3 linked regions of the Struthio camelus genome follow. The protein of the gene in region 3 purifies or fractionates together with the protein of the main gene of each other region. This does not show direct contact. Links are inferred from orthologs where the notes say so. Each region holds a gene or a part of one and is shown on either strand. Other genes may lie near its edges. The genes, in order: ATR, RPA2 and ETAA1.

Region 1 (10,336 bases), on a different chromosome or scaffold from region 3:
GTACTTTTGGTTGACCTGAAAGGGCCCTTTAACTCCCTTCACCACTATGGACAGCTACTAGAAATTCATGACTTCTGGAAAACAATCTAGTATTATTATTAGCAACCCAAGAGAACACAAGACATTAGCCTTCTCTCTATTTGAACTCTATGTATAAGTAATAGCTAGATCCTGAAGCTCAGATTGAGACAAATCCTTTAAATTAGCATTCAAGTAAATATAATCTAGCTGATAACATATAGCCGAATAATTCAGCTTTACTATATGTCAATTTTTTAAAATCAGTCCAGGCAGAAATCTACCAATGATTATTAGTAAGATGAAAAGGTTACTACACTAAGTGAATTAAACAGGGTGATACCGGATCCAGCATTATTATTTTCTTTTTCGCTAGTGCCTATTACATCTGCAAGAAAACCCTGAATGTGGGTTGATAATCCCTTCTGCACAAGTACACAATCTACTTTATACATAATTTATTCCTGAGGCTCAGCAATACCAGTTTCACTGATGAGCTATTGTGACATACCACCTTTACTCTCTTCAGAAATGCGTACGTAACAGCAGCAACCGACCCCCCCCCCCCCAGAAATTCATCAAGTAATTTACATGTAGAAGTACCAAAACAAATAAGACAAATAATAACGTCATGACTGGCATCTAGTATTTACTGAATGGGACCAGTTCAGTCAAAGCTGGAATCATGTAATTCTACCACAAACATAATATACTGGAGAACAGAGAAGCCACCCTTCTTACTTCATTTTGCAGTCCTCGTTTAAACATGTGTAGCAACAGTGATGCTTAAAAATCCCTTAATAAAGTGGCGTGGCATGACATGACTGTATGGCAGAGCTGTTTATATCAGTAACTTAAGAACTCCTGATTCATACTTAACTTGATCTGGCTAATGCTAGCTGTTGTTTTTATTGTTAATATCCCTTTGCATACCATAACATGACCATTGGTCAACTGTTTGCTCAGTGAATGTCTAGGTTGAAACGAAATAGCGATACAGAGATATGACATCCTACAGGAAAAAAATCTTCAAAACTGATTTTTAGATTCGAAAGTCATGGCACTTGCTTAGCTAGGTATCTTCCCAGCACTAATTTGCAATTTATTGCTTCCTTATCATCAGGCACAGTACACAGCCTGCTACAGTAATAATCCTGTTTGCTTGGATCAGATTCCTTTTACTCGTTGGTATTCCTGGTCTACATTTATTTAATCCACTTATTTAGACGTAGTTACTTTTGGATTTTTAATTATTATCAACAATTATCGAGGGTGTGAAGCTTTTCACATGTCCCGGTGAACTCTACGAAAATATTTTCTTTAATTAGCTAGCGCTAGGGAGGCCACTAACGTCACAGACTTAGACTTTATATGAGCATTAAAGGATAAGGATATGGGTACAACCTTTTTAGTTTAGACATTTTCCTATCATGTGCTGCAAAGGTGATATCCATCCCATTGATACAAATCCCTTGGAGTAGTAGAAGTCTTAAATACTGGGAAAACACACACAAAAAAAACCATACCCTACTGGGAAAATAATGCTACAACATGCATACATTGGCTTAATTTATTTGGCTTCTAACAAAGGCAATAGAAGGACAAAAACCTGTGACTACCCTTTCTCCTTCCATTTCATCGGTTTCTACAGTGAGCCACGGAAAGAAAATTAGAGAACTCTCGCATTTAGCAATAGCCTGGACATCTTTTATCAATATTACCAAGCCTAAACTCTATTCTAGTCTTGAGCAGTGTGAAACATAGAATCAGATAGAAAATTATTTCTCCTCTCATGAAAGCTTTATAGGAAAACAACAAATTTTTACTATGAAAATAGCTAGCACAGTTATTCGGATTTTAAGAATTTGTTCTTAATAAAAAGAAGAACCTTTGTAATTAAAACAGCTAGAACTTTCAAACAAATTTAGTTTAAATGACATTTTAAATTAAAACACTGCACAGTTTTCTCCTGCCATGACTAGCACAGAGTTTTGCGTGAGCCTATGAAACCACGCAAACATTTTTCCCAAGGAGTCATTATTGTCAATCACATTCCCTAGTTATGGAATACTTTTTTTAATCAGCATTTAAAATTTTGAAAGTTTTGCCTTAAGGAAGTAGATTCCAAGCATCTTAGTTTTATTCCAGAATTATCAACTCAGGAAAGTCTTGACTTTGTAACACTAGTCCCGGTAATAAATAAATTCCTATGAGTTTACTCCAAAGCTGCTAACCTGAAGAGTAATATTCTTCTACTAGAAAGCAAAAACCATAAATAACAGAGATATATATACAGGCAACTACTTTTTATCAGTAGCGTCTGTGCATAAGCAAAAAACAGTGGCTGCTACTATACAAATAATAATGCCAGGTTCCCAAAGAACATATAATCTAACACACTATCTCTCTGAATTACTCAAATGTTTAATTTTACTTCATGAATAGTCTTAAGTACGTAAGCAGGATTATTCATATTAAAAATATGTGGATAAGTGTTTGCAAGACTAGGACCTATGTGGATAACATAGAGTGAAAGGGGGTGTTAAAAAACAGTTTTATATATTTTCTTTCTTTCCTCACTTTTGTCCCCTCTTTCACCTGTCAGTTTTTGCCTAGTGGTTGAATTTATATATTCCTGCTTTCAGGATGCCAGCTGGTGAATGGCCCTTACTGACATTTACTATTTCAACTTTTCACTATTCTTTTTTTTTTTTTTTTTTTTTTTTTAAAATCATCAAACCAATATTCCGGACTGAATATTATTTTGACTTGTGCCTCTTCCCTCTAGCCAAGTTGACTAGGCGACACAGGCATAGACAAAAACATAGCCTTCCGGAATATACGTTTTTATGGTGTACAGGAACAATTCAACACGTTCAAAGGTCAGTCAACTACTCTGACAAGCACTTTCATGACTATATATGGAAATAAGTTTTCAAGTAATCATACAGACCATTGGGTATTATTACAGCAACCATGCAAGTGAAAAACCATAAGCACACCTTGATATTACATAAAACCACTTAGTACAGTTCAGAGGAGCTCACTGCACCATCTTGGCTGAACTTCCTCTGACCACCGTATCAGCCTGTACAATGTTTGTATTTCACGGTTCATGAAGACATCAAGAAATACACAGGTGCCTTTAGGTCATCGTAAATCACTTGTGTCTACTGACAAGGGACAGCTGAGATTTAACTGCAGTCTTATTAACAGGCACCATCTCTCACACATCCACGCAGTGGATGAGCCCCAAGAAGAACAGTACGTTCACCTCTATCTTTGAATTAAATTGCAACAGAATGAATAAAAGCAGAATCAACATGCCTTTGTGTGTAGGACCTGCTGGCCCAAAGCAAAGTCACTCTGTGTTACTCAGTGTGAGTATGAAACTTAAGTGAGTGCCCTGGGAAGGTACGTGGAAAAAAAAAAAAACAACCAATGCCAAAGAAGATGCAGGCCTAGGTGTGGGAGAATCATGCAAGAAGTGAGAGGACTGTTCAAGTTGGCGGGGGGGGGGGAGGGAGGGGAAGAAATTTTTAGCAGATATCTTGACACTACTGTACACACTGCATTTGATACCTAGCTCTAACTCCCTGCATGAATTTTCCTGAGTTTTGTAAGCTGGGAGTTCTGCACACCTATTTCACCAATATGGATCTGCACTGGAAAAGAAGATACAAAACAGTCTCAAGGCACACTAATTTCTTTAGTCATGAGGCACGCTCTCCAGATGGATGATAATACATCTCCCCCTCCTACTGAGGACACAGAGACATATAAAGTATAAAATAATGAGATGAGGGAGAAACAAGACGGAGGTGAATTGAAATTTTACTGAGCTTCTTATTGTGTGTTCAAGAAAAGCAAGGGGCAAAGCTAGGTGTTTTTGGTTTTGTGAGTGCCCATAAAAATATTTTAAGGTGAGCATCGAGAAGACATCGTTTATCTTCACAGCACAAACACTGTGAACCTGGGACAATGCAGTTGTCATTAGGGGCACTAGAGAGTCCTGTTAAGACCAAGGTAACAGGAAGAACATGATGATATGGTCAGAAGGCAGCACATGAGGCTTTGTCACTGGGAGAGAACAGAGGCTCCTGGCCTCACTACCACTGAGGGGTAGGGAGCAGGAGACACCTCTTTAGTGAATTGCTGGGAGTATTTACTACAAAAAAGCCTGAATTACACGTTTGAAGTAACTGCAACATAAATTTCTATAGAATTCTACCTATGCCAAATGAAAGTGTTTCTGCAATAGCTATATTAGCATGAGCTCACTGTTGAATTGGGAGACTTCCAGGCAAAAGTACTTATTTGTTGTTGTCAAGCACTTTGTCTGCCCCATTTATTCTTTATAAACAAAAAAACATCTCTCTATGCTTCAATAAATTTATTGTATTTCTTAGGATTAAAAGCTGAAGAATATGTATGTATTCTACTCCAAATCTTCTTAGGAAAGATAGCTAAATATCTGTTGGGATCCCAAGTTTATCAGGGATGACACCGAGACTTCCATTCTACTTCAAATTAGCAAGTAGTGCAATTTACACTTTCTATGCAGTGATTGCTGTCTCAGAATTGGCAGTTTACACTCAGATTGTTGTTCTAACAAGAAGTATATATTTTTATTTAAATTGTGTAGAAACTTCTCTGTTCAAAATAAAATTGACAACAAAACCCAGACGTACCTTGTCTTCCTGTATCATTGAAATTCTACTTAAGAAAACGTGTAAACCGTTTTCGCTCCTGGGAATGAATCTCAAAAGGCCAATATTTTACAGTCAGCTGGTAGAGAAAATTGCAAGAAGCGTTGAAAAATTTAAGATGAAACTCAATTATTTTTTGCAACGTTTCTTGAAACATTCTCATTCCTTCCTATGTTAGCAACCAGGGTACTCTTTGATCTTTGAAAGATCAGCAAAACTTTGTATGAAACCGTATACAGGTATTTTGTAGGATGAAAATAACCAGGTGTAGCTGAAAAAGTTAATTAGCAATAGGTTCCCTAAAAGCATGCACCTGCAATGAATCAGTAACAGCAACACACAGATGCATCCACTTCATTTCCTGGGCTGTTTTACATGCAAAAGATATAGGCACAGTGCAGTGGAAACAGGCAACAGAATTACAAGCCTCTGAGAGGATTTTATTTCAGCCCAGAAACAATGCTAAGCAGTTCAGAAACAAATGCAGAAAGTATTATGCTTCTGAATCAGAAAAGCAAAGCTCAGACTTCAATTTGCCCTTAAGTACTCTTCCTGCTACTAGTATCTACACACAAGAACGCTTTTTGTATCCTCTCACGTTCCGAGGTCTCACAGACTTGCTGCGTGGGCAGGGCTCCCACGTATGGGCCATACAGTGACAATCACCATTACATCCCAGGACTGCTACTAAAGCACGCATTTAATTTTTCCTGTAGCGTAAGAAAGCAGGCTACTTTAAGTACATTGCACAACGCTTTTAGGGTTTTTCTTTAAAGCATTTATGCGTTCAAATACCTTTGTCCCCTCAAAAGAACACGAACGGAAAGTAACGCACACTGACAAATAAAAAATAACCACTATATTTTAAATATCCTTCCTGCTGCTAGCTACGCGGAGCGGCACAGAGCCGGCGGGCGCCAAGACCCCGCACGGCCAGGCTGCGCCCTCCCTCCCGCCTCGTCCCGTCCCGTCCCACCCCCCAGGCCCGGCGCCGGGCCCCAAACCCCGGGCCAGGCACCGGTACCGGCACCGGCAGCCGCTCCCTACCTGCTGCTCCTGCTGCCGCGTCCCCGCCGCCACCTGCCGCCGCCGGGGCGGGGCGGGGCGGCAGCGCCCAGGGCCAACGCCGGGGCGGGCTGCGGCGGCGCCGTTTCCCGTGACCCGATAAAACAGTCTCGCCGTTGGCGGAATTAGCAGCCGCGGGTGCGGGCGGGCGGGGCAGGCGGCCGTTGGCGGCGGGGCCTCCGCCCGAGGGGCACCGAGGTTCCCTCCTCAGCGCCCCTGTGACAGGCTCCACTCATGGCTGGCGGTATTCCTCCCCCCCCCCCCCCCGCTGTACGCTTGCCCCCTTTCTGTTTTTACCACTTTGAGCGCTGCGACGGCGAGGAGCGCCCTGCTGCCCTCCCCTGAGAGGCCGCTAAAAACCTGACCTGACCCCCTTCCCCCCCCCACCCCCCCCCGCGGGGCTTTCTGCTGGTGACGAAGCGGTTAAAATTTCAGCCGCGCGAGGGAGGAGGGGCAGCGGGCAGAGAACCGGCCCGCACGAGAACGGCGGTGTTCTGAGCCCTACCGGCCGCCGTCCGCCGGGTGCCGCCGCCGCGCCGCGCCGCGCGTTTCAAAGCGGGAGCCATGGCCGAGCAGGGCCTGGAGATGGCCTCCATGATCCCGGCCCTGCGGGAGCTGGCCAGGTAGGGCGCGCCCGGCCCCGCAGCCGCGTCCGCCGGCCCCTCCTAGGCGGGAGGGCTTGGGGGGAGCGGGTGGCTGTGGGGAAGTGGAGAAAGTAGGTTCTTTCCCCACCGCCGAGGGAGGCCTCGCGGGGCCGGGCCTGCCCCGACCCGACCCCTCAGCCCGGGGTGCAGCCGGGCGGGTGGGCCCCGTTGGGCTGCCCGGGCGTAGCGCCCGGCCTCCTGGGGAGGGCTGTTCTGTTGTGCTTCCAGCGGGGTTTCGCTGAGAATTGAAAGACCTTAAAGCATCTGTTAGTCCTCTCTAGCGTGCTTTGCGCTACTCGATTAGACGCCTTACTAGTTTAAAGCTCCTCTAGTCAGAACTGCATCTGGAAGTTGTAAATTGTAATCGTCATTCGCTGCTGCTCAGTTAGAAGAGTTGAAAGTGAGATGTTAAACGTCCGTGTTTGAGGCATGCACTCCAGAAGGTCCCTCGGGATGATGGCATGACTGGAACAGCCTTCTTTGTTCCATTTGTTCCTTCATTTTTTTTTAAGCTATGGAAAACTCCTTTCTGCAGTACCTGAATGTCTTACATTCCCTTTAGTGCAGTAGTTGAGTGCTTTATAACAACCACATAAAGCAAAAGAGTAGCATGAGCACCGGTTGTGCAGATGCCAAAACGGACTCCATCTTTATGTCAGGGAGGGGGGAGATTGTGGCAGAGTTGGAACTTGGATCCCTTGCTTCTTGAGGTAATGCCCTGATCAAAGGTGTTCTTGACCTTTTGTGGCTGGTTGGTTAAACATGTGTACAGAGAACATCTTGGTTTGTTGTCGTTCAGGTTACAGGAAAGATAGCCTACTTAAATAGGTGGATGTCTGAGTTTTCTGTAAGCCTGCTGCAATCCAGTCTGCAGCCTTCACTGAAGCAATCCAAACTGTGCTTTGCAAGTGTCCCTATCCTAGCTGCGATCTTCATTGCATCAGGGGAAGTGAACCTACTTAACCCTGAGACTACAGTTATTTGCTACACATGCCCTCACACATCAAAAATTGCTCTTGTCCAGCTCAGTTCATTAAAGCTGCAAACACTAAACTGGCATACAAGCTTTTCACAATTGGGGCCTGTATCAGGGCCATCTATACAGAGATCAATGTTTGGCTCTAAAGTGGTAATGGCAGCAATCTGCAAAGCTAAAAAACTGTAGCTGTGATTGTGGTAGGCAACTAATGGCTGTGGAGATACAAGTGTATGCTGAAGATTTGACCTGGCAGCGTCAGCTGGTATCTTAGTTGTCAGAGCTGCTGCAGTCGATACCTCTTACCTTGCGTACTGACAGCTAGTCAGCTGAATAATTTTGGCAACTCTAAAATTAAAATAGGTTCCTAATTTTATTTTTCTGTACCAAAACTGTTCTGTTGCTTTGGAGTAGTGTGTATAAATCCCTTAATGAGTCGGAGATAGATTTAATATATATCAAGCATAACTGCATAGCCAAAAATTTAATGATCTTCAGCACATCATAAAACTTCATTCTTTTGAAAAATGAGGAAAAAGAGAAGCAGACAATATATTGGTCACTGAAAAGGGGAATCAATTTGTATTTCTCTTTGAAGTCTTCTAGAAGTAAAAAGTACCACTTTCAGTGTTTAACACTGTGTTGCTGAGATACACTTTAAATAGTTATTTTGTATTTTTAATTTTAGTGCTAATCCAGAAGAATACAATTCCGTTGTGCAGAAACCGAGGCAAATACTCTGCCAGTTCATTGACAGAATTCTTACAGATGTAGATGTTGGTAAGCATTGCACCTCTTGCTTTTAAAATGATCATCTGTTTTGGGTTGTTGTTGTTTTTTCCTTTATGTAATTCCTGCTAAAAATAAGTTATATATGAGTTACAATTTCAACAAAAATTTAATAGCTGAATGACTATTATGACTTACTTAAAATAATCTATACGATAAAGTCTTTGCTGATGTGATATGAAGTAATGTGAGTCAAATGTATAACTGTTAGAAGAAGTAACTATGTGAAGTGCAGAGGCGTATGAGTATATATGCTCACAACATTAAAAATCTTGTGCTTTGCAAATTTATAAAGCACTCCTAACTGATAACTCTACAGATTTAATACCACATAATAATATTTTATGTAATAATTTTCTTCTTTCCCTGTTAAGTATGAACAAAATCTGTGAAGTTGCTGTGTCATGGTACTAATTCAGAAATCTGCCTTTCTTTTTTCAGTTGCTTTGGAGCTTATTAAGAAATCTGATTCACAGCCAAGTTCTGTAATGCTGCTTGATTTTATTCAACATATCATGAAATCTTCCCCTCTTATGTTTGTAAACATGGATGGAAATCAGGAGGAAACTGAATGCAGTTGCATTGGTGAGTTGGTTGAAAAATTTTATGTTGAAATTTGGTATTTACGTGATTTAAATTTTCTGCCCGTGGATCATGCAAATCTCCCTTTTCCCCGTTTTTGTTCTCTTGCAAGTTCAGCACTTCATGTTTATAAGTTAATCTTACGATATCCTTTTATAACTGTAAATTGATTTGCACTTGTGATAATGGAAACTTGTCGAGATATATACCAGGACAGAGTCTGACCTTATTCATTACTGTTGTGTAGTCATTAAGATACTGTCCAGTTCCTGTTGGAAAGGAACCCATAGTCATCCTGAACCCATAGTCATTTCCTAAGTCTTTTTTAAATATGCGGAAAATGTAGATGAAATGATACTTAGCCTGAAATCTTTTTGTTGTTGTTGTTGTGCCCTTTTTTTCCCCCACTTTCCCTCTTCTTCAAAGAGGTTTCCTGTCTCTGTGAAGGCATTCTGTTTATCAAGCCTAGATGCCTTTATCGCAAGGAGATTTATGGTTTTAGTGATGAGCAGCTTGTTTTTTTCCCAAGAAGGTGGCCTTAATATGAGCTTTTGTTTTTATCTTAAAAATTCTTTTACGTGTGCTCTTTCTTTTTTATTTTCCTAGAATTTAGTAATTGGATCATAACAAGGCTTCTCCGAATTGCTGCAACTCCAAATTGCTGTACGTTGCACAAGAACATCTGTGATGTCATCTGCTCTTTACTGCTACTATTTAAAATGAAGAGTTGTTCCATTTTTGAAGTACTAACAAAAGACTTGCTACAGCTTTTCCAAGATTTAATTTTCCTGCATGAAAGAGACACACAGAAGCATCTCTGGGGAGATATGCTGGTCTGGCCAGTGGCTGTAAAGAGATTTTTAAGCAATTCAAGTGACAATGTTGGATACTTAAGATTGGCACCGTTGCAGCTGATGGGCATGCCCAATGTAGAAAGTTTGGAAGTTATATTAATGTCTGTTCTGACAGACATTGCTGCAGATGTGTTTTTTGTAAGACAAGATATTATTCTGTGGGGGATAGGTTGCTCCTTGTTGGAGTATGGTAGTCCAAAAGTTAAAGCTTTGGCAATGAAATTTTTAATAAAATTAATTCATTTGGGAGGACCTCCAGAACAGCTGGCCAGTGTTTTCTTCAGAGTCTTTTTTGGAATTCTGCAGTCAATACTTGAAATGGATGCTGAAGAAACAGGACTCTTTGAAGAACCGCTCTTACTCTTGGTGAGGACGTTGTTGCCATTTGAAGCAGATTCTTACAGAAATATCGAACCTGTCTACTTGAATATGCTACTCGAGAAGCTCTGTGCGTTGTTTGAAGGTGATGTGTTCAGGTGTCTTCAGTCTGAAAAGCTAAAAGCTGCTTTTTGCCATATATTGCAATATTTTCTGGAGTTTGTTCCAGTTGGCTATGAATCTGCCTTGCAAGTAAGAAACGTCCATATCGGTACCATATGCAAAATTTTCGTGAATGCACTTGGTACTCAGGAAGAACAAGAGGTAGGTTAATTTTAAAAACTCTTTTTATCATGAGAACGGGTAATGCACAAAAACCTA
Region 2 (10,839 bases), on a different chromosome or scaffold from region 3:
TGGACTAAATGATCTCCAGAGGTCCCTTCCAACCTTGGCCATTCTGTGAGAAATATATCTGGAGGCAGACTGCCTGAGAACGTATGGTAACTCACAGCTCTCATACATTAGGAGGTCAAGTTAAAATCTAGGCAGAAGCCTGGCCTTGATCTGCTCAACTGTAAGACCATCTCAGAACTCACAGTTGAAGGAAGGGAAACTCCCTGATATAGGTCAGTCTGGCATGAAAAAGCTTCATGGCAATCACTGGCCTTTCCCAATACATCAAGCTTTACTAGCAGTGTTTAAATCAGCACTGTAAAGCTTTTACTAAGAGCCACTAATTTTGTCTTGGTTTCCGAGTAAGTTCTCAATGCCAGAAAATAGTATTCACAATTGCTGATTCAAATGTGCTGTGAAGCATGTCCTCTCTTCGTTCACTTCTGTTCTCTCTCAGTCATTAGAGTGCTTGCTGGGGACTGAGGAATGCTAACAGCAAGCAGAACAGCAAAAGAAAAACACTGGTGATGGTGGAGGCAGAGCTGCTGGCTTTAATACACTCATTGTATCGTACAAAATCAACTTCCCTGATGGCACAAACATGGTCAATGCGGCAGGCCTCCTCACACAGGGCAAGGTCATATTTGACAGAGTTGAACTCATAATACTGCTGCAGATACTGCGTATCCTTTGATATCCTCTCCAGCACTGTGTGCATGGACCGGGCAGAGCCATCAGGGACTTGGAAAGCTTCCGTCAGCCTATACTCTTTCTCCCACATTGGGAACATCGTATTAGCATGAGTTAGATTTAAATAGTAAGTCACCATATCCTGCAGGGAGAAAAAAATATAACAAGGAAAAAAAAAAATGAGGAAAGGATCAGCCCTTGAGTGAAGCAGTTGACTGAGATCTGATCAGCCCATTCTCCTAGATGCTGGTGTGTAGCACAACGAAGAGCTTTCAGCAGCAGGCAGCACACCTGGTGGGAGGTAAGCTGCCTCCCAACAGATGCTTCCTACCAAGATGTGAACCTGAGGAAAGATGCCTCAAGTGAGAGCATTCAGCACTCACTATAAAAGCAATTTTAGCCCATTTTACTATTGTATAAGTGTTGAAAGGTTGACTTTTCTCTGCTTTTCCTCTGCTTGTATTTTGAAACATCAGAAATTTTGAGCCTGATCTGCTCCAAAAAAATTCACTCTGGTATTCATTATCAACATTGTCCTCTGGCAGGAGGAGCAGCTGGAGAAGTGTTACAGGGTTGAGCAGTTATTTACTCAAACGTGAACAAAGTTAAACAAAAAAGTTCTAAAAAACCTTCTGTTTGCAAACCTTTTCTGTTTTTTTTCTGTTTGCTCTTTTTCTCTCTGCCTTGCTTCACTAGCTCTCTAGCTTTGCGCAGTATATTTTAGGACAGACAAGCATGCATTTCTTATGCTGCAAACATGCAAATACAGTATCTGCAGAGGTGCTTTATCCCTTGCAAAGAAAGGTACAAGAACACCATCCTCCACCTTTTTGCAAATGAAAGACAAAGGAAATGGAAGTCTTCGTCTTCCCTACAATTCAACTAACTTCTGATCCTATTACAAAATGAATTAATTCAGAACATAGGTGGGACCCAAATAATTTTCTAGACAGCTAGAGTTTTTGAAGGGTGTTCAGCAAGCCTGTTAGTCCCCAAAGACAGTTCTGGAATCCACGTTACCTGGGCTGTAAAGCAAGCGTAAAAGGAGATTAATTGAAGATATGAAGAACAAACAAGTCTGAACTCTCTTGCATTGCCATGGGACTCATCCCAGCAGGAGGCCTGAGCCAGTCGAATGTAGTGTCATTGCCCTTACTCACTGACACTCTTTAAAACTTTGTGCTAGCCACAAGACTGAAATACCTTGTTTTACATCCTCTGCTACATAGCCTCTTGGCTCCCTGTAGTCCTGCTTGTTAAAAAGAGGTGGGAGAATTAAAGCACCCAACTGAGACTGCAGTACAAAGCATGATGGTGTCCCCTACCTTTACTTGAAGGGTGTCTGGATCGTAATCAATCACCCGGATCCCAGGGTTGTTGGCTCCATTGGCCACTCCAGGTAACGTTGTTTTCCAAGGAGTCACTCCAGGGGCTAAGAACATGACATTGATTGGAGAACCTTAATAGAAAGACAAAAGAAACCATGAGTCAGAGAGGTCTGGCTTGGAGCAGACAACGAGCATCCTGACCACTGAGCACCTTGCACCCATTGCTCACCAGATCCAGTTACAATAATGCACGCAGAAAGATCTGATGCTATTCAACACACTGAGATTGAATACGTGACATTTCCAGCTAAAAGCAGGCCTTCTGCAGCTTGGCATGAGTGGAAGACTCTACAGTGAGGGTGAGCAAGAGAACCACCCTCAGTGAACGAGACCCAAAGAGCCATTGTGAAGACCTACAGTTGCTCCCTTAGGTCTCAGCTAAGGTCCAGAAACCATCAGTATGGAGCAGGACGAGCAGCAAGGCACTGTGAGAGGAAACAACAAATGAGAGGGGAAGCAGGAAGGACAGCTGGAGCTACAGGTCTGGGTGGGGAATCCCATCCACTGTTGTGTCTTGTTGACCAAAGCATTTTACAAGACGTTTTAGAAAGCAAGACGTAAATGAGCCTTTTCTGACTTGTTGGCTGCAGTCACCGAAAACCCTCTTCAACAATGATTTTTTGGGGACTGAACAGAGCTATCATGCAAATACTTGGGTAGCCAGATTTGATACCTGTATCACTGTAAAACATCCGAAAGCTGTCAGTGTGGTGGTGTCCAAAAAACTGGGCAGCAATCACTCTGTGGTGCCTCTGCACTATTTTCAGGTATCGTTCATTAAAGTTACTCCGGAACCAGGGCTTGCTTCTTTTCTTCTCGAAGAAGCCAGGAGGGATGTGCCCAGCAATGTAAACCTACAAGAGCAAAGAGCTGCGCTGAATGTAGATCCCATGCTTCCCAAAGAGAGCACTGGCTTGCTGGTCCTTGGCACACAAGAGAGATCAGGAGTGAAAGGACCTTCCAGGCTGGGAGAAGCCCTCTACAAAGGCATGGGGGCTTTTGTTGTTGTGTGGGCTTTTTTTTTTTTTTTTTAAATACCATTTCTTCTGCTTTTGAGGCGTTGGTCAATGTTTCTTCCAACCACCGGAACTGCCCTCCAGGATCTTCCTCACCAGCCGTCTGGTTATTCTGGTCATAGTACAGATTGGTATTGAGGACAATCATTCGCCCACTTGTATTTGGGCTGGGCAGCTTCTCACTGTAGAAAGCAGCTGTAAAATGCAACCAGCAGGAGAAAGAGCTGGAATTCTGGCCACACAGCCAATTGTGTCCCCAAATCCCCGGGCTTTTACCTCTCTCAGCTCTCCTTGGCAATAGTCACAGCAGAGTCACTATCTAGACAAGGTGCCAGCAGCTCTGACTGGTTCCAGAGTAACCAGCAGCTCTGACCAATCCAGGATATGGATTTGGTGTGACTCTTCCCTGTGTCTTCTTGTCCCGCATATGCCACTCAAGGTGAAGAGAGACCCTGGGTTTTAAGAGTATGTGCAGGACAGTCCAGGAGCTGGGAAGCTATAGATAGCTACTGTTGTGGCTTTCTTGAAAGATCTTTTTTATTTTCACTGAAGCTCACCATCCTCTGCAGGGACACTTTCCTAAAACTCTAGGAAAGCACGGAGAGACTAAAGCATAAAGAAAGTCCTTTTCCCACATGCAGGAAAACTCAGTGCTAGGAATCAATCTTAAATTGGACCCTTCCTCTACAAGCACTGCGGCTTGGGGAATAAAAGCAGAGACAGCACGTTCATGGTGACTTTCCCAACCACCCTATCTTCCCAGGACACTGCTGACACGGGCTAGTGGTGCCACACCTGCTCTGAACAGAGGAATGGAAGTATCGTTCAGCCAGGAGCGCCACAGTTCAGCTGTTTGGTTGTAGATCCTGTGCTCCTCCCCTGGAAACTGATTCTTGGGGTGGAAGTCATGATTGCCCATCACAGCGTAGACTTTAGTTTCTAGAGAAAGAGAAAAGGAAGCACAGAGGAATCCAAGCTTGCTCCAGAGTTCTTCAGCACCAAAGCTCTCTAGAGAGCTTACAGACTCAAAAAGAATAGCATGGCTGGAGAGCTTCATAAAAGGTTATCATCCACACTAAACTCCTGTGGTTGCACGGACTGGGGATACAATACTGCAAGACCATGTGTCCTCAGGGAAGCCACCCCAGAGCAAGACTGCTATGTTTTTACAGATGGAGTCAGTGAGATTTCCTTGTCAGTAATACTTCTTCTCCCACTAAGCGAGAATAAATTTTGTAGCTTCGTTTTTCTTAATGAGTAGTTATAGAAATGTTTCTTTTCCACTCTTCTGAGTGAATTAATCTGAAATAGCAAGGGTGTGTTAGACATGCCTCAATCAAACAGCCTGTACAGCAACTAGGAAGAAGACAAAGTAGTCCTAATGCCCACAGCATTTCAGTGCCTTTCCCCTTCTTAATTATATCATTTCTCCAGAATGGTAAGTTCTTCCCATGAGACTTTGTACTCCTCTCCCCTATTCATTCTCTCAGATCCTACCTGGAAATATCTGTTTTATCAGAGAAGTCAGATTTTCAATTATGTGCAGAACCTGTTTTTCTCCAAGCTGCTCATTGGGGACATGAGGAGTATCATCTCTGGAGAAAACAAATGAACAAACAAAAAAATAACAAACAAAAAAACATTATGGGGCACGAATCAGCACTACGTTGACTGGCAAGGGCACTAAGAGAGTTTCAAGGAACTGCTCACAGTAAAAACCTGCTCTGCTTTAGTCTACCTTGAAAAACCTATACACAAGCATAAGAAATTGAGCCTTATTCTACCTCAGTGTATTTAACAGATGCTACAGATGACTGGCGATCTTGTGAGGAACAGCGTTTCACAGTCTGGTAGTAAATTTGGTCAGCAGTGGTAAAACAAAACTCTTTGTTTTATTTTCAATGGAAGAGTTGTTATCCTGCTGCTCTCTTGAGTACAAACGGATGCCTCCAGTAAGCCAATGACCATTGAGATCTACCTCTAAAAACCTAGCAGATACACATTTCAATGTTTTCACTAATATGCTTTTAGCATATGTAGACAATATCAGCTGGTAAGGATTATAAGCCCATTGAAAGATAAGACTAAAATACAGGAAGATTTTGAAGAACGAGGATAAATAGTTTGAGAAAATGTAAAACAAGACAGAAGTTTTAAAGACCAACAACTATTTCTAAGTAGGAATGATCATCTGCACAAATATATAAAGTGGAAACAGTGGGTTAGTCAACAGCGCTGCAGATCAGGATTGGGAGTTACAAAAGCTCATAGCGAACACTGTGCTGTTAGAAGAAGCAGGAAACATTACAGAGGGATGTATGAACTTACAGAAATCATGCCAAACAAGTCTTTCACTGTTTGCAAGTGCTATTAGGGCCTCCTGTAAGGTGGCCACTTCTGGACACCATACTACAAAAAAAGCTCCATTTGGGGAGGCTCTTCATAGTTGTAAAGAAAATTAGCTCCTTTTTGAGGTAAGTCTTCCAGGTTCCTCTGTGTAGTTTGAAGAAATGCTGCAAGCCCTTCTCGTGGTGCCTCTAACAAGGCAGGACTTTGTACACCAACAAAATGAATACGTTCCATTCCCCCAAGCATTTTCAGGTATTCAAAATTTGTGTGAAGTGAGACTAGGCTGGCAACAATTGGAGAAGAAGAAAGGATGGTGAATTCTAACACCTTCCCTCATCTTACCTGGAGTTTTTCAGAGAATCCCTCATTGCTGGGGCTCGTTCAAAGCATGGCCTCCCACTCCTAACAGCCTCGCTGTGCCCTCAGCTCCGTACAGCTCCACTAGCAGACTCCATTTTGTACTTTAAGGCGTATCCAAATCTCACCTCTCCAAAATGGTTACCTTAAGAACCCTGAATCTACCGTGAACTCTTCACCTCCAAGTCCTCTGGCTCCCCATTCTCTAATAACAGCTCTCAGCCAAACACTGGCAATGCCCAAAGCACGCAGGATCATGTCATAAACTGAAAGCGTGAGTAAACACAGAACCAGTACTACCAATTTTTGGATTATTTGGGCTTCCCCCCCCCCTTGTCACAAGAAGATTCCTAAAAATGCAAACATGGGTATTCACCTCCTAGAGCTTCAGCAAAATGATGGAAAACACGAGCCTAGAAGAGCTGGGATTTCCTCATTTTTACACGTAAAGCTGAAGTACAGCTTCAAAGCCTATCCTATACCCGCTTTTTTCTGAGGGACGGGCCGGTGAAGCGGCCCGACCCTTGAGGGGGCGGCAGAGGACACGCTCCGCCGAGCCCCGCGCAGCCTCCTCCGCCGGGCGGGGCGGCCGCTGCCTGCCCGGGGCCAAGTTCCGAGCTCAGCCGGTGGCGGGGCCGCGGCCGCCCCCTCCGCGCCCGGCCTGGCTCCTCACCCGGTCCAAAGGATGAAGTCGGGCTGGCGCAGGATGCCCCTCATGGCGAAGATGGAGGAGTTGAGCAGGCGCCAAGGGGAGTCGCAGAGGTAGCTGCCCCAGGGCCCGGCGGCCGGCACGGCCCGGGAGCCGCCCGAGGGGCACACCTGCGAGGGCTCCGCCGCCGCGTCGTAGCCGGGGTCCCAGTGCAGGTCTGTGATGTGCCAGAAGCGCCCTGCCGCCGCCGGGAGAGACGCCGCGACTTAGCGGGGCGGGCGGGCGAGCGAGCGAGCGAGCGAGCGAGCGAGCGCCCGACAGCCGCCAGCCGCCCGCCACCGCCCCCTGTTACCTGCGAGGGCCGCGCAGAGCGGGCAGAGCAGCAGGAGCGCGAAACGCTTCATGTTGGCCAGGTTCGCTCCTACCCCTGCTCCGGCCGCGGCCGCGGCCCCGCCCCGCCCCGCCCCGCCGCGCGGCCCCGCCCCTCCCCTTCCCTCCCCGCCCCGCTGCGCCGCGCGGCCCCGCCCCTCCCTGCCCCTCCCCTTTCCTCCCCGCCGGGCCGCTCGGCCCCGCCCCGCCCCGGGCCCTGCTCACCTCGGCGGCGGTCGGGCTGCGCCAGCACTCAAAATGGCGCTGTCAGCCTCCCCGCCGCTTCCCCCCACTGGAAGGAGCCAGAAGAAAGGCGATTGCGATTGGCTGACCGGCCGGATTATCGGGCCCGCGGATTGGGCAGCTGCCGGCGGCGCGCGGGGGGACTACGCGGGTCCGTCTCGCGCCTGCCGTTAGGCCTGGCGCCGCCGCAATGTGGAGCGGACAGGGTGCGGGCCCGGGGCGGTGGGGGCGGCCCGGGGCTGCCGGGGAGCTGCCGCGCAGCCGCCGCGCAGGAGCCGGTGCCCAGGGCCAGCGCGCGGCGGGCTGTGCTGCCGGCGAGGGAGGAGCCGGGGCTGCTGCGCCCGGTGGCGGCGGCGGCGGCGGCGGGTAGCGCGTCTCTGCCGCCGCCTCAGGGTCTCTCCCTCCCTCTCCTCAGGTACCTTCGACACCGGCTACAGCAACGTGGGAGGCCCGGGGCCCGCAGGCGGCTACATGCAGTCCCCGGGAGGCTTTGGCTCCCCCGCAGGCACCCAGGCTGAGAAGAAGCAGGTAGGCCTGGAGCGGGGCCTCGCCGGGCCCCGGGGCGCTGGGCCGCGGCGCTCCGCCCGCCCCCTGCGGGGCGAGGGCCAGGCGCTCGGCCCGCGGAGCTGACGGCCCCTCGGCATCCCCTTGCAGAGAGCCCGCTCCCAGAACATCGTGCCCTGTACTGTGTCACAACTGCTGGCTGCTGAGCAGGTCGATGAAACCTTCAGGATCCGCGACGTGGAGATATCTCAAGTAAGCGCCCAGGGTGGCCACTGGGCAGAGCTGCCAAACCCCGAGTGGGAGCGTTGCGAGTGGCAACAGCTTTCCCGTGCCAGTCCCCCACTGTAACGTTTTCCTTCTTCCAATGCAGGTCACTATCATGGGGATAATCCGGCATGCGGAGAAAGCACCGACAAACATTCTCTACAAAGTAGACGATATGACAGCGGCCCCGATGGATGTCAGACAGTGGGTTGATACTGACGTAAGCACCAGTGGGGAGTACAGCGGAGAGAATGAGCTTTTGGATGATTCTTGTAACACCAGTTGGGTAGGAAAGATGGAAAAGATGGAAAAGATTTAAGTTGTAAGCAAAGAATGGAAGAACAAGAATCTAACTTTAGCTTGGTCCTTGTTGCGTGGAAGAAAAACTCAAAATTTAGGTTTTCTTAGTCATTTTCAGTAATTCTTTGTGATAAACACCCCATCAAATTCTCTGTGTGTGTTATGTTTGTGTTTATTACCCCTCTCTTTGTTATGAACTTAACGTTTTCTTGAAAAAATAACGTGACTGGTTTGGAAAATGTTTTGGGAATAATGTAACTCGAAAAGCTGAGGAAAATGTTGCAGTAGCAGAGGTCACCAGTGTTGTATATGAGTCTCCTCCTGCTTTATAATTCTACGCTTCTACATTGAAGCATGCTGAACAATTTTTGAGGTATTTAAAGGCTGAAGCTTGAACGTTGCTTCATAAATGAATTGAGAGGCATTTACAAGAGGCAATGGGCAGAAACTGAACCACAGGAAGTTCCATCTGAACCTGAGGAAAAACTTCTTCACTGTGAGGGTGACAGAGCATTGGAACAGGTTGCCCAGAGAGGTAGTGGAGTCTCCTTCGCTGGAGCTATTCAAAACCCGTCTGGATGTGATCCTGGGCAATATGCTCTAGGTGACCCTGCTGGGGCAGGGAGGTTGGACTAGATGATCTCCAGAGGTCCCTTCCAACCAATTTCCCTTCCAACCTAAACAATTCTGTGATTCTGTGAGAGATGAGTCCTCAATACCTTTGTGTAGAAACACAAGGACAGAAAGTATCTGAACAGAGATTTTTGTATATGGCTCAGTGACTGATAATACCGGTGAGTATCATCATTGCTGATGCATGACTCCTGAAGTGATGGTAGTTTTCCACTGGATTCTCATGCTGATATAACAAGCTTTTAAAGCTGGACCCTGTTATTAAAACATATTTGAAGGCAAACAGCTGAGTTCAGACGAACAACTTTGAAAGAGTAATTAAGCAAATGTTCAGTCGGCTTAACGACAAGTTTATCATAAATTAGAAGAGGATTCTGTGACTGTTTCCATAACCGTAACCCAAGTTTTATAGCTGAACACTTCCTTTTTACTACTTCAGGGCTTTTTCCCTCTTGTTGCTTTTTGAAGATCCCCCAGAAGCGGACAAAGACATCGGAGCGCTGTAATACAAGTGGCTTCAGCTGCTCTCAGATATGCAGTGTATTCAAACAAGAAGAATTTTTTTTCCCCTTTCACTTAGTTTTTCCATTTTTCACTTACACTAACTGTTCGTATTGGATGTAGGAATGTATGGCTTTTGTGTTTGCTTGAGATAAGCCTCTTTTCTCAAATCACTTATTGTGATAGTGGATAAATGGAAATGTGAATCAGGAAAACCTTGTTTTTTCCCCTTTTCCTTTCTGTTAGGAGGCAGGTGGTGAGAATGTTGTAGTACCTCCAGGAACTTACGTAAAAGTAGCTGGTCATCTTCGGTCTTTCCAGGTAAAATCATGTTATTTATGTATGACTCCTCAAGTAATGAGGTTGGAGCAGTGGCTTGAAGGATTACTGATCTTGTAAAGTGTTAGGGTCTTTGTAGAATATGCAGTTAATCATGATCTTTAGTCAGCCTTTCCTTGAATGTTTTTGGCAATGCTGTTCCTAAGTGCAAAGGACAGAAGATCCATTTAAAATTTCATTGTTCATCCGTACATTGTTTTCTGCTGAACAGTACTGGCCACCACATTCTTGAATGTTTGTACTGTAGAGCTTAGATTTTATTCTGGTCACTAGGGGACACTTTATAAAGGGTAATAATGTCATACAGTTACATCATAATAGTCACTGTTTAAATAGTGATGTGTGCATTAAAGCAAAGTGCAGTTAGTTACTAGCCAGTTAGAAAATCACACATATATATATATATATATATATATATATATATATATATATAAATATATATATTTTTGTTTTAAGGGTTGTCCCTTTGTCTTTGTGAATTAATCTCCTTCAAATTCATTACTTCATTATTGAGAAAGGTAGTTTTTTAGCACAACTCTTAAAAGCATCAGAACATGGCTTTTCATAGGGTCAAAAGCCAGGAGCCATCATTCTAAATTCTTATCCCATCTTGTGAGAAGTTACTTATCTATACTGTATTTCAGAGCTGCATATGAAAAGTAGTCCAAAGACCTGGGCACTAGTTACAGTGACAGCAGACAACCCCCCTACCCACTACTATCCTTGTTCCTAGAAATAATGATTGGATTGGGCGTGTGGCTGTTGGCTGTGATTTAATTTTTTTTCTTTTTGCTTCTTTGAAAGAATAAGAAGAGCTTGGTGGCTTTTAAGATCATGCCTCTGGAAAATATGAATGAATTCACCACACACATACTAGAAATTGTCAATGCACATATGATCCTCAGAAAAAATCTTATGGTATGTACGTGGAGATCTTAACCCTTACACACTGAATGGGGGGGGCTGTTGGTTATTTTCCAAAGAGATGGACCTCTTCTTTCACTGGGGAAAGTGTATTTAAGTTGTGACGCTGAAGAGCTTTAAATTGCTGGAGGGCTACAGTGAAGGTATGACAGGAATCTCGGCTTCCTTGGAGGGAAATTGTGCTACAGTCAATTTCCAATTGTTTCTTTGGGAATCTATTTTTAATTACTGCATATCTGAAATAACATTCAGTCTTTCATCCCTCAGGCTTGAGGGCAGTCCATGTAACCGTAGCCCTTTTACTCTTTTAGTCAGCATCAAGAATGCCTCAGTC
Region 3 (9,843 bases):
CCTGTAATGTGGGCGTCAGGTACTGGACTGGGGCCTTAAATCATTATGCATACATGACGAAACTGCTGCCAGGGGAGAACAACCTCCAGTCGCCCCCACATTAAAACCAGCAGCAGTATGTATAATGGGAGCGTAATGGGAGTCACACACGCATATGGAACAGAGAGACTTCATTGTTATGCATTTCCATGTAAACTGTGGCTTATAGCTAATGGGATGCAGACTCAAGGGATAATGTATAGAATTTAAAAAATGAAAGCCTCCCAAAAAAATCACTCTGGTACAGAAACTGTTTTTTCAACTGCAAGCTATGAACAGTTGACATAAAAACAGTCCATCCAGAAACCGCTGAGTACGTTGGAGAAAAACAGAGAATGACTGCACTTGGAGAATTTCATACTAGTTTGATCACTGATTCTTCAGTAAGCTATTTAGCACCATAGGCTAAACATTCTCCTGGAACATATGTATCAGTCAAAAGCTAAGCCTACTTTAAATAAATAATCAGTGCCTATTTGCCTTCTCCAGAATGCCTGATCAAAAAGCTGTCTTCACTGACCATCGACTGCTTTGTTTTTGGTAGCTGACAAAATGCTTTACTAATTTACACTGTAGCGTGTGAGAGTTTTAGCAAGTCTCGATCTTCAAATGCAGGTCAGTTTTTGTCACTGATGAAAGAAATCATCTACAGGATATATTATATATGATAGGATATATGATTAGTATTTGTCAGACTTTCAAACAAGATGGAAACCTATTCCTTCCTGTTCTTTAAAGAATCTTATAACTTGTTTTCTTACAAGGGATAAAAAAAATTCCAGAAATTAAGAGAGCAGAAAAGAAAACCTATTTCTCACTCCTTGATAGCCCGGAGCTGTAATACAGCAGAATCGACATATTAAAAAAAAAAAAAGAAAAGAAAAGAAAAGAGAACGTGGCTGCCGTAATTTTTAAGAGCTGTTTCTCATCCTATCCTCATTTGTATCTTTTCTCCATGTATAAACAGTGAGGTAGCAGAGGGTGCGTCTGAGCTGGCAGGATCACCCAAGATGCATGTCTCCCTTGGTACAGTGAGCAACGATATCGTGGACATGAGAGAAAAAACAGCGAAAAGCTCCTTGGCAGCAGGGCTGGATGCAGCCGCTGTGCAAAGGGGTATGCAATGAGGAATGGCTGCTTCAAGACTCCTCCTGATCTTAGGGCAAGTCTCCCGAGTGCAAGCCAGCACAGTGCGCAAGCGCCCAGGCCATCGTACCTGTTCCAGACTAAGATGCCAGGGAGCTGCCTCCATGCAGCAGTGCGCTCACGCTAACCAGCCCAGCTAAGATTTAAAGCAGAAATCCTACAAACACTGCAGTCTTACACAACTGGGATTCACCTCTTGAATGCAGTTCACCCTGAGCGCTGGAAAACAAAGACAGCTGTGGAATTAAGCCTACGTTATAATACATACCTAAAAGAAGGCCGGCCCAGGAGCTATCTCCTGCTTTCTGTGAGGGAGTGGAGGTGTAGGGCTCACTACAGACCTCTGCAACTTGTAGCATGTTCATTGCCTGACCTAATTCTTCTAAACAGCTGACCCATTTTGGTTGATAATTTCCCTTAAATGTCCAGACACCAAGCAATGGAAAATTTCCTTTAAATGCCAGTTAACGAGCAATGGAAAATGTCATCATGAGGAAGTTATGCAGGTATTTAAGTGCTCTGCTGGATCAGGCCTTTGTGAGCTAAATTATAGTTTTCCATTTGACTTGATTTTCAGAGTGTGATAAATATAATAAAATGATACTCTATGATTTAAAAAAAGGAAAAAAATGAGATACATGTAAAAATTTTTAAAGCTTCTAAGGTTCTTGGATGGCATGGTGGTGAGAAGACAGAGAGAGAGAATGCAGAAGTATAAACCAGGCTACACTTCTGTAAATTACCGTGACATTTAATAACTCTGTACTAAAAATTCTCAAGCAAGGATACTTTGGATATTTTTAAGGTCATGTATCATTTACTGTCTAGGTCAATTTATGGCTCAGCAGAGAGTGTTGCAAACCCTTCCAGACAGCATTTAAAAAATAAAGGTATACGTAACTGTTTGGGCCGTATTTTCCTCATCAGTTTCTGCACTGTGAACATTTCACCTTGGAAAATTAAAGTAACATTCTGTAATAAGTGAACTCAGTATGATATTTCAAGGCAAGTCAAGGGTAAACTTTATAACTAGACTATCAAAATGCTATTAATAAAAGCAAAAATACATGAACGATGCCTGTGTTTCCCTATGGATGGAAAAATTATTGTCCATTAAGTCAACATTTCAGGTACCCTCACCGTTTTTCCTGCAGTCCCAGTGAAGGCAATACAACACATATATCTCCTGCAGTTAACTTGTATAAACTACCTGTTATCATGTACTGCCATAATTTAGTAAGCACTCCAGGGGTTCTGAAGAGGATATATGGATGAGAAGGATTTCTGCAAAAAAAAAACCCAAAAGGCTAAAAACTGTGGCTACAGTATTCTACTCTCATATTGAGTTTTACACAGGTGTCCTAGTTCATTTTTGTTTTGGTCCACAGGGTTGTATTTATAAATGTGTCTTATGTTAAGCATCTAAATTCACTTCTCTGTTTATACAGCTCCCCTCACATCCGGTGGCGCTGTGGTTATTCCCCAGATAATCTACGCTTCAGAAGAACTATTATCTCCTTTTGAGAGATGTGGAGCCAGACTACCAGGACACATCTACACAGCATGAGGCAGCGTTGCGCAGCAACGTCTGGGCCAGCTCTGATGAGCAAAGCTGGTTAGAAGATTTCAGGTGCATAAGCTACCTCATCCAATGCTCCTGTGCCCATCTGCGAGGATCTCCGAGTCATACCCTGCAGAAGAATAGAACAACTGAGGGCAGTCTCCCCCACGCAATGAAGCATGGCCACAGACTCTTGCTCTCAGGACCACTGAAATCTCTTGAGGGCTCCTACAGAACTACAGGCTGAATGCAGTAGTGCTATAAACATGTATATATGGACTGAATGCAGTAGTGCTATAAACATGTATATATGGACTGAATGCAGTAGTGCTATAAACATGTATATATTTTGCTTTTGTAGACATTTGCCTTTGTAGGCAATCAAAGAAACAAACAGGATTTTACAGATCCCAAAAGCCCATGGCTTTCCTTGATTTCTGCCTTGCCAGAACTCTAGCTTTAGAGGAAGAGAAGGGGAGATGATGAGAAGGTGATCCATTTATCAAATTTCCTTAGGTACACAGTACACATGGCTACTCAACTACATAAACTCTTTATTTAACAGTTCCTTCCGTAGGAAATAACAGTGACATGTTTAAAGAACCCTATAACTGTACTGACTTGCAGAGTTTGTACCCAAACCATTTTTTGAAATAAGCTATCCAAGAAATACTAGACTTGGAGAATTTTTCTTTTCACCTAGTATCAGATGTTCAAAATACATCTGCACATTTTCATTTGAGGCAAGGTATGAGTGGATGTGTGTGAGTTTTTTACTTCTTTTTCAGCATTTAACAAAAAATCACTTTTGAAATGAAACTGTAATTTGGAAACAAAAAATAATAAGATAGTCAACTCTGAAAATATCACAGACATTTAGAAACTTTCTGGAAAAAGATAGTGTTTTTCAAATTAAACTCATTATTTATAACAGTTTCTGTCCCCTCACAAATCTTCACATTTTCAATGAAATCGCTATCATTGATTTTCCTTTCCTTCTAGCCCTAGTAAGTATGAAAGATGAACTATAACATAAAGTCACTTCTCTTTGTTAATTAAATTGATGTAATGTGTTAGATACTTTGAAAAACCCCACTAACGATACACACTCCCTCCAAAATAAAAATGTGCTCTTTCAAGTTCTGTTCTCAAAGGATTTTAGAGAGGAACACTTTTTCATGAATATTTTCTATGTTCTCATTACACTATTGGATATTTGTTAGGAAATTTCTCAGATCTTCCACATTTATTTCGTTTCATTTTAGGTCCTTGTCTCATAAAATGCAGTAAAAAGTTCCCAGGCAGTTTATAGTACTATTAAATCTAAAACTAACTTTATTATTCAGTCACTCTCCTCCATTACTCATCCCTCTTGATTTGAAAGCAGGACTCAGAACCACAGCACGAAGAGTTTGCAACAAGTCCCTGGAACGGAGCCTCACCACAGCTAGCCACTGATCCAGCTGCCAGCGCCATGGCAAGGGAGCACAAACTTCCTCCTCCTTGAGGCTACAGCTCCACAGAGAAACCCTTCAACATCACAGACTTCCACCACTACTTTTCTTAACTTAAGAAACAGCATCAGCTCAAGGCTAAGTTCTTAAGCTGCAATGAGATACACATACTTTTCTTCATTAGGAAATGGGAGTTTTTTCATCGTGGAGCTGTTTGGTTTTTCTGTATGTGCAGATATATTTTTTTTTTGCCTAGTTTTGTTAATACAACTTTGTATATGCTGAAGCTGATGTAACAAGATCTCTCATGCAGAACTAGATACACATTAGAAATATTCTTTTTCAAAATTCTTTTACCGTTAAGAGCTCACTAATGTGTGAAAGACCTGTGGCGAATACTCACATTTTATGAATGAGGTTAGTGAACAATGAGCTGGAAGAAAAGCAGAAATCAAAGAGACAGCTCTGCAAAATTCACAGCACTCATTGAATGTGACAGGTGTCAATTTTAATTATTTATGACAGTATTTTGGAATATACTTGTAAACATACGGGAGTACGAAAGGAGACCGCTTTACAATACCCAGCTGCTAAGTGGCCACTAGGAAATGGCAGGAGACAGCAAGGACTTTAGTAACACTTTCTAGTAAGTCTGTTAAAATTTAGTATGTTTTGTTATCTTGCGAGTTGTATCTACTACTACTGTAAATAGACACAGATTCCTCTCAGTATCCTTGTTATCTGTAAACACAGGGCATGTAATCTACATTCACCTATGGCATAAAGGGTCCGTGCAAGCCACTCCCGCACCTGGGCAACGCAACAGCTTTTAAATGTTGTATTACAAACTAATGACCCCCACCAAACCACTAATGGCACCACCCAGGGCAGGGGGGCAAGCAGGGACCTAGGAGCCGCTGCAGCGCTGCCCTCCACGCTCCGCCTGCCCCTTCCTTTCCAGTCAGGAAGCAGCCTGCGGGGCAGCTCACGCCTCCCCCCGCGGCGGGCAGCCCAGCCCAGCCCAGCCCAGCGCAGCGCAGGCCGCTGCCACACTACTCCGAACAGGAGGCGGGCCCGCCAAACGCGGCCGGCAGTTCCCTACCGCGTCCGCCCGCCCGCCTCCGCCGCTGGGGGCCAATGGCCGCTCGAGGCGGCGCGGCGCCGGCCAATCGGCGGCGGCGTGGCGGGCTCCCGGGCAAGATGGCGGCGCCGCGAGAAAGCTGCGGCAGGGGTGGTATGGGGCGCTGCCGGGGCGCGCGCCATGCCCAGTAGCCGGCGCAAGGTGCCCGCCGCCCTGAGGAGGCGCGGCGGCGGCGAGGAGAAGCTCAGCCGGCGGCGGCCGGAGGACCCCCCCGCGGGGGAGGCGGCGGGCGGCGGCGCGGCAGGTACGGCGGGAGCGGCTGGGCCGGGGGCGGCTGTGGGGCCGGGGGCAGCCCAGCCCAGCCCAGCCCAGCCCGCCTCGCCGGCGCCAGCGCCCGTGACGGCGGCGGGCGCCGCTCTGGCCCCGCGCCGGGAGGGGCCGGCGGGCGCAGACCGCAGCCGCCCCGCTGCCTCCGCCAGCGCCGCTTCCTGAGCGGCGGCTGTGGCGGGCTGAGCGTCACCTAACGTGTGCCGCTCGCTGCCGCTCCGGGACCGCACGGAGCTGTTTGCGACTGCCTCTGTCCCGGTTTTCAACCTTTATGCCTGAAGAGGCCTGGGGCGGCGGCGGCTGGGGGAGGGGGGAGATACATGCTGGTACGAAGGCAGGATGCGACCCAGGACAGTTTGGAGGTGCCATGGAAGTTGTGACCCAAATCTGAGTCTAGGTGACAGACCTATGCAAGGTGGGGCGCAAAGTGTCCTCTTGCACAGCTGTGCTGGGTCTTTCCCTTGAAGTAAGCTGAAGTCGCCATTCCTGGGCCTAAGAGGATAGACGGTTCTCGTCCTGGCCTTTAGAGGCTAAGCGAGCATCTGTCGGCATCCTGTAGCGCTCCGCTACCTCTCTGGTGGAGCGCAGCCGGCAAAGGTAGAGTTGCATTCTGGGTTAATAGTTGTGAAAACCACTGGTGTTTTAATTAAAGGAACCCTCATGAGTGTGAACTCAGACCCTCAGTGTGAACTTTTCATTCTTAAGGCTTACACACCATGTTTTTTGTGTCTTACCCTGTTGTATGTTCTGAGTTATTTCAATCTTTTATGTGTTAATGTTTAATAAGCATCATCTTTCTGTTTGCACAGAGTCATGTTCACATAAGACGCCAAAGAGATCACTGAATAGGAAATCACGGATACCTACTTTCAGCTCTCCTGTTAATGATGCTGATAAAGAGCAAGAAATCTTTTGGGATCCTAATTCACCAATTGCATGCAGACTAGGTAATACCAACAAAATTCATACTTCAGGTTGCCCATTTGACGTATATGTTGCAGTATACTAAAAGTTTTCAAATCTGAATTATCCAAAAAAAGCCCCCTTCCTGTTATCACCATGGCAATGGTGGAGTTGGGGTGTTCAGAGGTGATCAGATTGTTTGATTGTGGTTTTTTTTTATTGTGATCCCATAAATTCTTCAATATAGCGCTCAATCAACTTCTGATTTTACCAGGTGTAACTGAATTATTTGAGACACAGGGAGTTTTGTAGTAATGTTTTGCCATTTTTAAAAAAGGTTTTGTTTTTTAGGCAATGAAAAAAAGAAACAGACTGCCAGTAGATGCGCAGTAGAAATTTCAGAAATTGTTAATCGTATTGCTCCTCAGGTAACTATGACTTTCTAAAACACTGCTCTCTATAGGCAATAATCGAGCAAAATTTTGTTACGCTACTCAGTGTTGGTGAAGATGTAATTTTAGCTACAGTAGTCTAGCATGGAAAGAAGCAAGTGTGCAGAAAAGTAGTAACGTGCTCATAAAAGAGAACTGAATTAAAATCACAGCCATAGTATTTGACTGGCTGTTCTTGAGTCACAGATGCTATTAAAAAAGAGGATGCATTAAGAAAAGCAGACTTGTGGCATCTCCATTTTAGGAAGTTTTACTTTCAGAATGCAAGTTACTGTCCCTGTTCTTAGGAAAACAGTTCTGGTATAGTCACCCTTAATCACTGGTCTGTTAAAAGGTATGGTTTCTTCACGTACTGTATTTACTTGACAGTTATTTTAAGCATTCTGAATGATCTTGAAATACACACTGCAGAACTGCAAGGACAACACTGAGGTGAAAGACTCCACAATGATACAGACGTAATACTGTTGCTGTAATTCCAATCAGTTTGCCTTTTTTACCCTCGTACATGCTCTTGATGTCTTCCCAGCTGGGGAACTGATGTCCACAGCCTGGAAAGTGAAAGATGCCCTTACAGTAGTGGGCTTATTGTTTGCTTTTTATTAAGTGCAAGAAGAGAACTGTCATTTCTACAAAGACAGTTTTGTAGTATCTGGCATGCAAAATATGCCTGCTTGATTGACAGGGCCATTTAAACTGTCTTCACTATTTAGAATATTTGTGAGAAATTATACTTTAGAATTTCAAAATCATTGATAAGGGATGCCAATTCCTCTCTGTTTAATGATTACAATGCTGTCATGATTGTGAGTTATTTAGAAATTGGACTTCGTTTGGGGCAATCTGTTGCTCACATCCTTCTTTTTCTTCCTTAAAAAAAAAAAAATTTGACATCCCCCCTCGCCCCAAGCCACCCTGATAAAGTTCAAATTATTTTTTGCTGACTACTTGGAGTGTTTCTTAATGTTCAATATGTGGCTCTGGCCCACTTCTCATTTTACTACTACAGTACTGTATCTCTTAGATTTGAAAATTCAGATCCAAGCCTGAACTTTGAAGCTCTGAAACGACCTCATTCAGTTTTTTACTTAATTTTTTTTTTTGTTTAGAGGCTCTTTGTATGAAAGAGTTGTAATGGAAGAAATCAAAATTTTTAACAGGAAGCAAACAGAATATGATTTTCTGAAATTCTCTAGTCTGTTAATGCTGCTGTAGGTGGAGAAAGACAATGTATCTCAAGTAGCTACTTACTAAAGTAAACTAAAATATAGCTTGCAAAGTGAAAATTGCAAATGATGTGTTAACCTGATTGGGGAAGTAAATATAGTATTAGATTAGAGTGGCAAAATAGAATTCAATTATTTTAATTGAAGTTGCTGCTTTAAATTGATATAATTAAACTGATAAAACTATCAGTAGACGCTGTTGCAATAATCTTGCTTGGCTTGTATTGGTTTAGCTCCTATCTGTGGCTTTGAGCACACTTGTTCCAGTTTAATTGTTTTAGTGACTTAAACGAATGCAAGGTGTATGTCTAGTTCAATCTTTATCTGCAATCAAATTGCTAAGCATTATAAATCTAATCATTTAGGATGAAAAAGCAGCCTGCAGTGGAGGATCCCTTTTAGAGACATGGATTGGTGAGGATGCCATTCCCTGTACACCTGGGGTAGTAAAACTGCGAGCTAGAACAAAGTTAAGCTGTACAAGGTAAGTTCCAATTTTGTCTTGCCTATCACAGCTAGACTTTCAGGAAAACAGATGTATTATTTCATTATGTTTATGTATAGTGAGTAATTGTACATTAGCATACAGAATGCTTTTAACTTTTGGGTTGTTATCTCTCTTGTTAACAGAGTAGCTATCACTGGGAATTGGCAAAAGGAATGCATGCTGATTGTGCACTGAAAACAGGATTCATTCATACTCTCTGTAGTTGCTAAATTACAGAATAAACAGCTGATAGGATAGTGTAATTGAACTTGACAAATTTTTCTCAATAGATCTGATTTTCTTTTATATATATATATTTTTTTGTTTGTTTGTTTTTAATCTAGAGATCTTAAAATAAAAAATCCTGAAGACGAACTCATGAAATTGGCTAAGGAATTTGATAAAAATCTGGTAGAGTTGGATGCTGTTCAGGAACAAGAGAAGCTTTGTCAGGACTTCGTCCAGACTGCCTCAGAGACTTTAAGTAATTGTAAAGATGAAGTACAGATGAAGAACCAGAAATCGGTCCTTGATGAAGTTTCTGAAACAGATAGTACTCTGTCCCTGAAACCAGTGGGAGAGAGCACTGGGGTTCCTGCTGCAGAGCCCTGTCAACCTAGTAGTCAGAAGTCTGTAGACCTGGAGGCTGAAATAGCCCTTCATGCCCTTTTTGATTGCTCTACCCAGAAATGTAGTGGACAGCTGAGCCAAGGACTGTCAGGTATTTCTTTAAATAACAGTTTCCAGGAAAACAAAAGCACCTTGGAGGAAGAACACCTTCCTGAGCCAATTAAAAACATGCAACATGTTACTTCTGAGACATGTCAACAAGATACTCCGTGTTTACTAGGAAGCACGAACCAGACTTTTCCAAAAACTTGTACCTTCATGTTGACAAAACAAAATTCTTCTTTGAAGACAAAAGTGGTGGTCTCCAGTAAGCTTACTGAAGTAGTTAGTGATGATTTTGATGACTGGGATACAGATTTTCTGGCAGATGACTCTTTTGTCATGCAAATAACCCAAAATCCTGAATTGATAAGTACTGAAGAGGCTTCACCAGTTCCTACAAATCCACCCGCGCGTGGTTTCAGTGATGCTAGTAGAACAAAGGAAAAAAGTAGTTGCAATTCAGTAACGTGTTTGGGGAGCTTACACAAGTCTAAC

What was found.
Region 1: the proteins of ETAA1 (region 3) and ATR purify together in Homo sapiens (affinity purification with western blotting; 3 studies listed by BioGRID, with this or other methods). This does not show direct contact. The link is inferred for Struthio camelus from reciprocal best matches to the Homo sapiens genes ETAA1 and ATR.
Region 2: the proteins of ETAA1 (region 3) and RPA2 purify together in Homo sapiens (affinity purification with western blotting; 4 studies listed by BioGRID, with this or other methods). This does not show direct contact. The link is inferred for Struthio camelus from reciprocal best matches to the Homo sapiens genes ETAA1 and RPA2.

Annotation. Positions count from the first base shown.
Region 1 is NC_090950.1:15,507,394-15,517,729, reverse strand, and holds the start of ATR (serine/threonine-protein kinase ATR), read left to right. Parts: upstream 1-6,243; 5' UTR 6,244-6,356; coding exon 6,357-6,415; intron 6,416-8,100; coding exon 8,101-8,192; intron 8,193-8,642; coding exon 8,643-8,786; intron 8,787-9,389; coding exon 9,390-10,279; intron 10,280-10,336. UniProt on the Homo sapiens protein: Serine/threonine protein kinase which activates checkpoint signaling upon genotoxic stresses such as ionizing radiation (IR), ultraviolet light (UV), or DNA replication stalling, thereby acting as a DNA damage sensor.
Region 2 is NC_090964.1:2,833,929-2,844,767, forward strand, and holds the start of RPA2 (replication protein A 32 kDa subunit), read left to right. Parts: upstream 1-6,961; 5' UTR 6,962-7,230; coding exon 7,231-7,246; intron 7,247-7,455; coding exon 7,456-7,568; intron 7,569-7,694; coding exon 7,695-7,796; intron 7,797-7,914; coding exon 7,915-8,028; intron 8,029-9,488; coding exon 9,489-9,563; intron 9,564-10,385; coding exon 10,386-10,499; intron 10,500-10,816; coding exon 10,817-10,839. Other genes in the region: SMPDL3B (acid sphingomyelinase-like phosphodiesterase 3b), read right to left, coding at 440-811, 1,995-2,128, 2,731-2,911, 3,096-3,268, 3,869-4,012, 4,571-4,668, 6,453-6,666, 6,781-6,832. UniProt on the Homo sapiens protein: As part of the heterotrimeric replication protein A complex (RPA/RP-A), binds and stabilizes single-stranded DNA intermediates that form during DNA replication or upon DNA stress.
Region 3 is NC_090944.1:142,321,045-142,330,887, forward strand, and holds the start of ETAA1 (ewing's tumor-associated antigen 1), read left to right. Parts: upstream 1-5,380; 5' UTR 5,381-5,461; coding exon 5,462-5,585; intron 5,586-6,417; coding exon 6,418-6,555; intron 6,556-6,862; coding exon 6,863-6,939; intron 6,940-8,554; coding exon 8,555-8,673; intron 8,674-9,020; coding exon 9,021-9,843. UniProt on the Homo sapiens protein: Replication stress response protein that accumulates at DNA damage sites and promotes replication fork progression and integrity.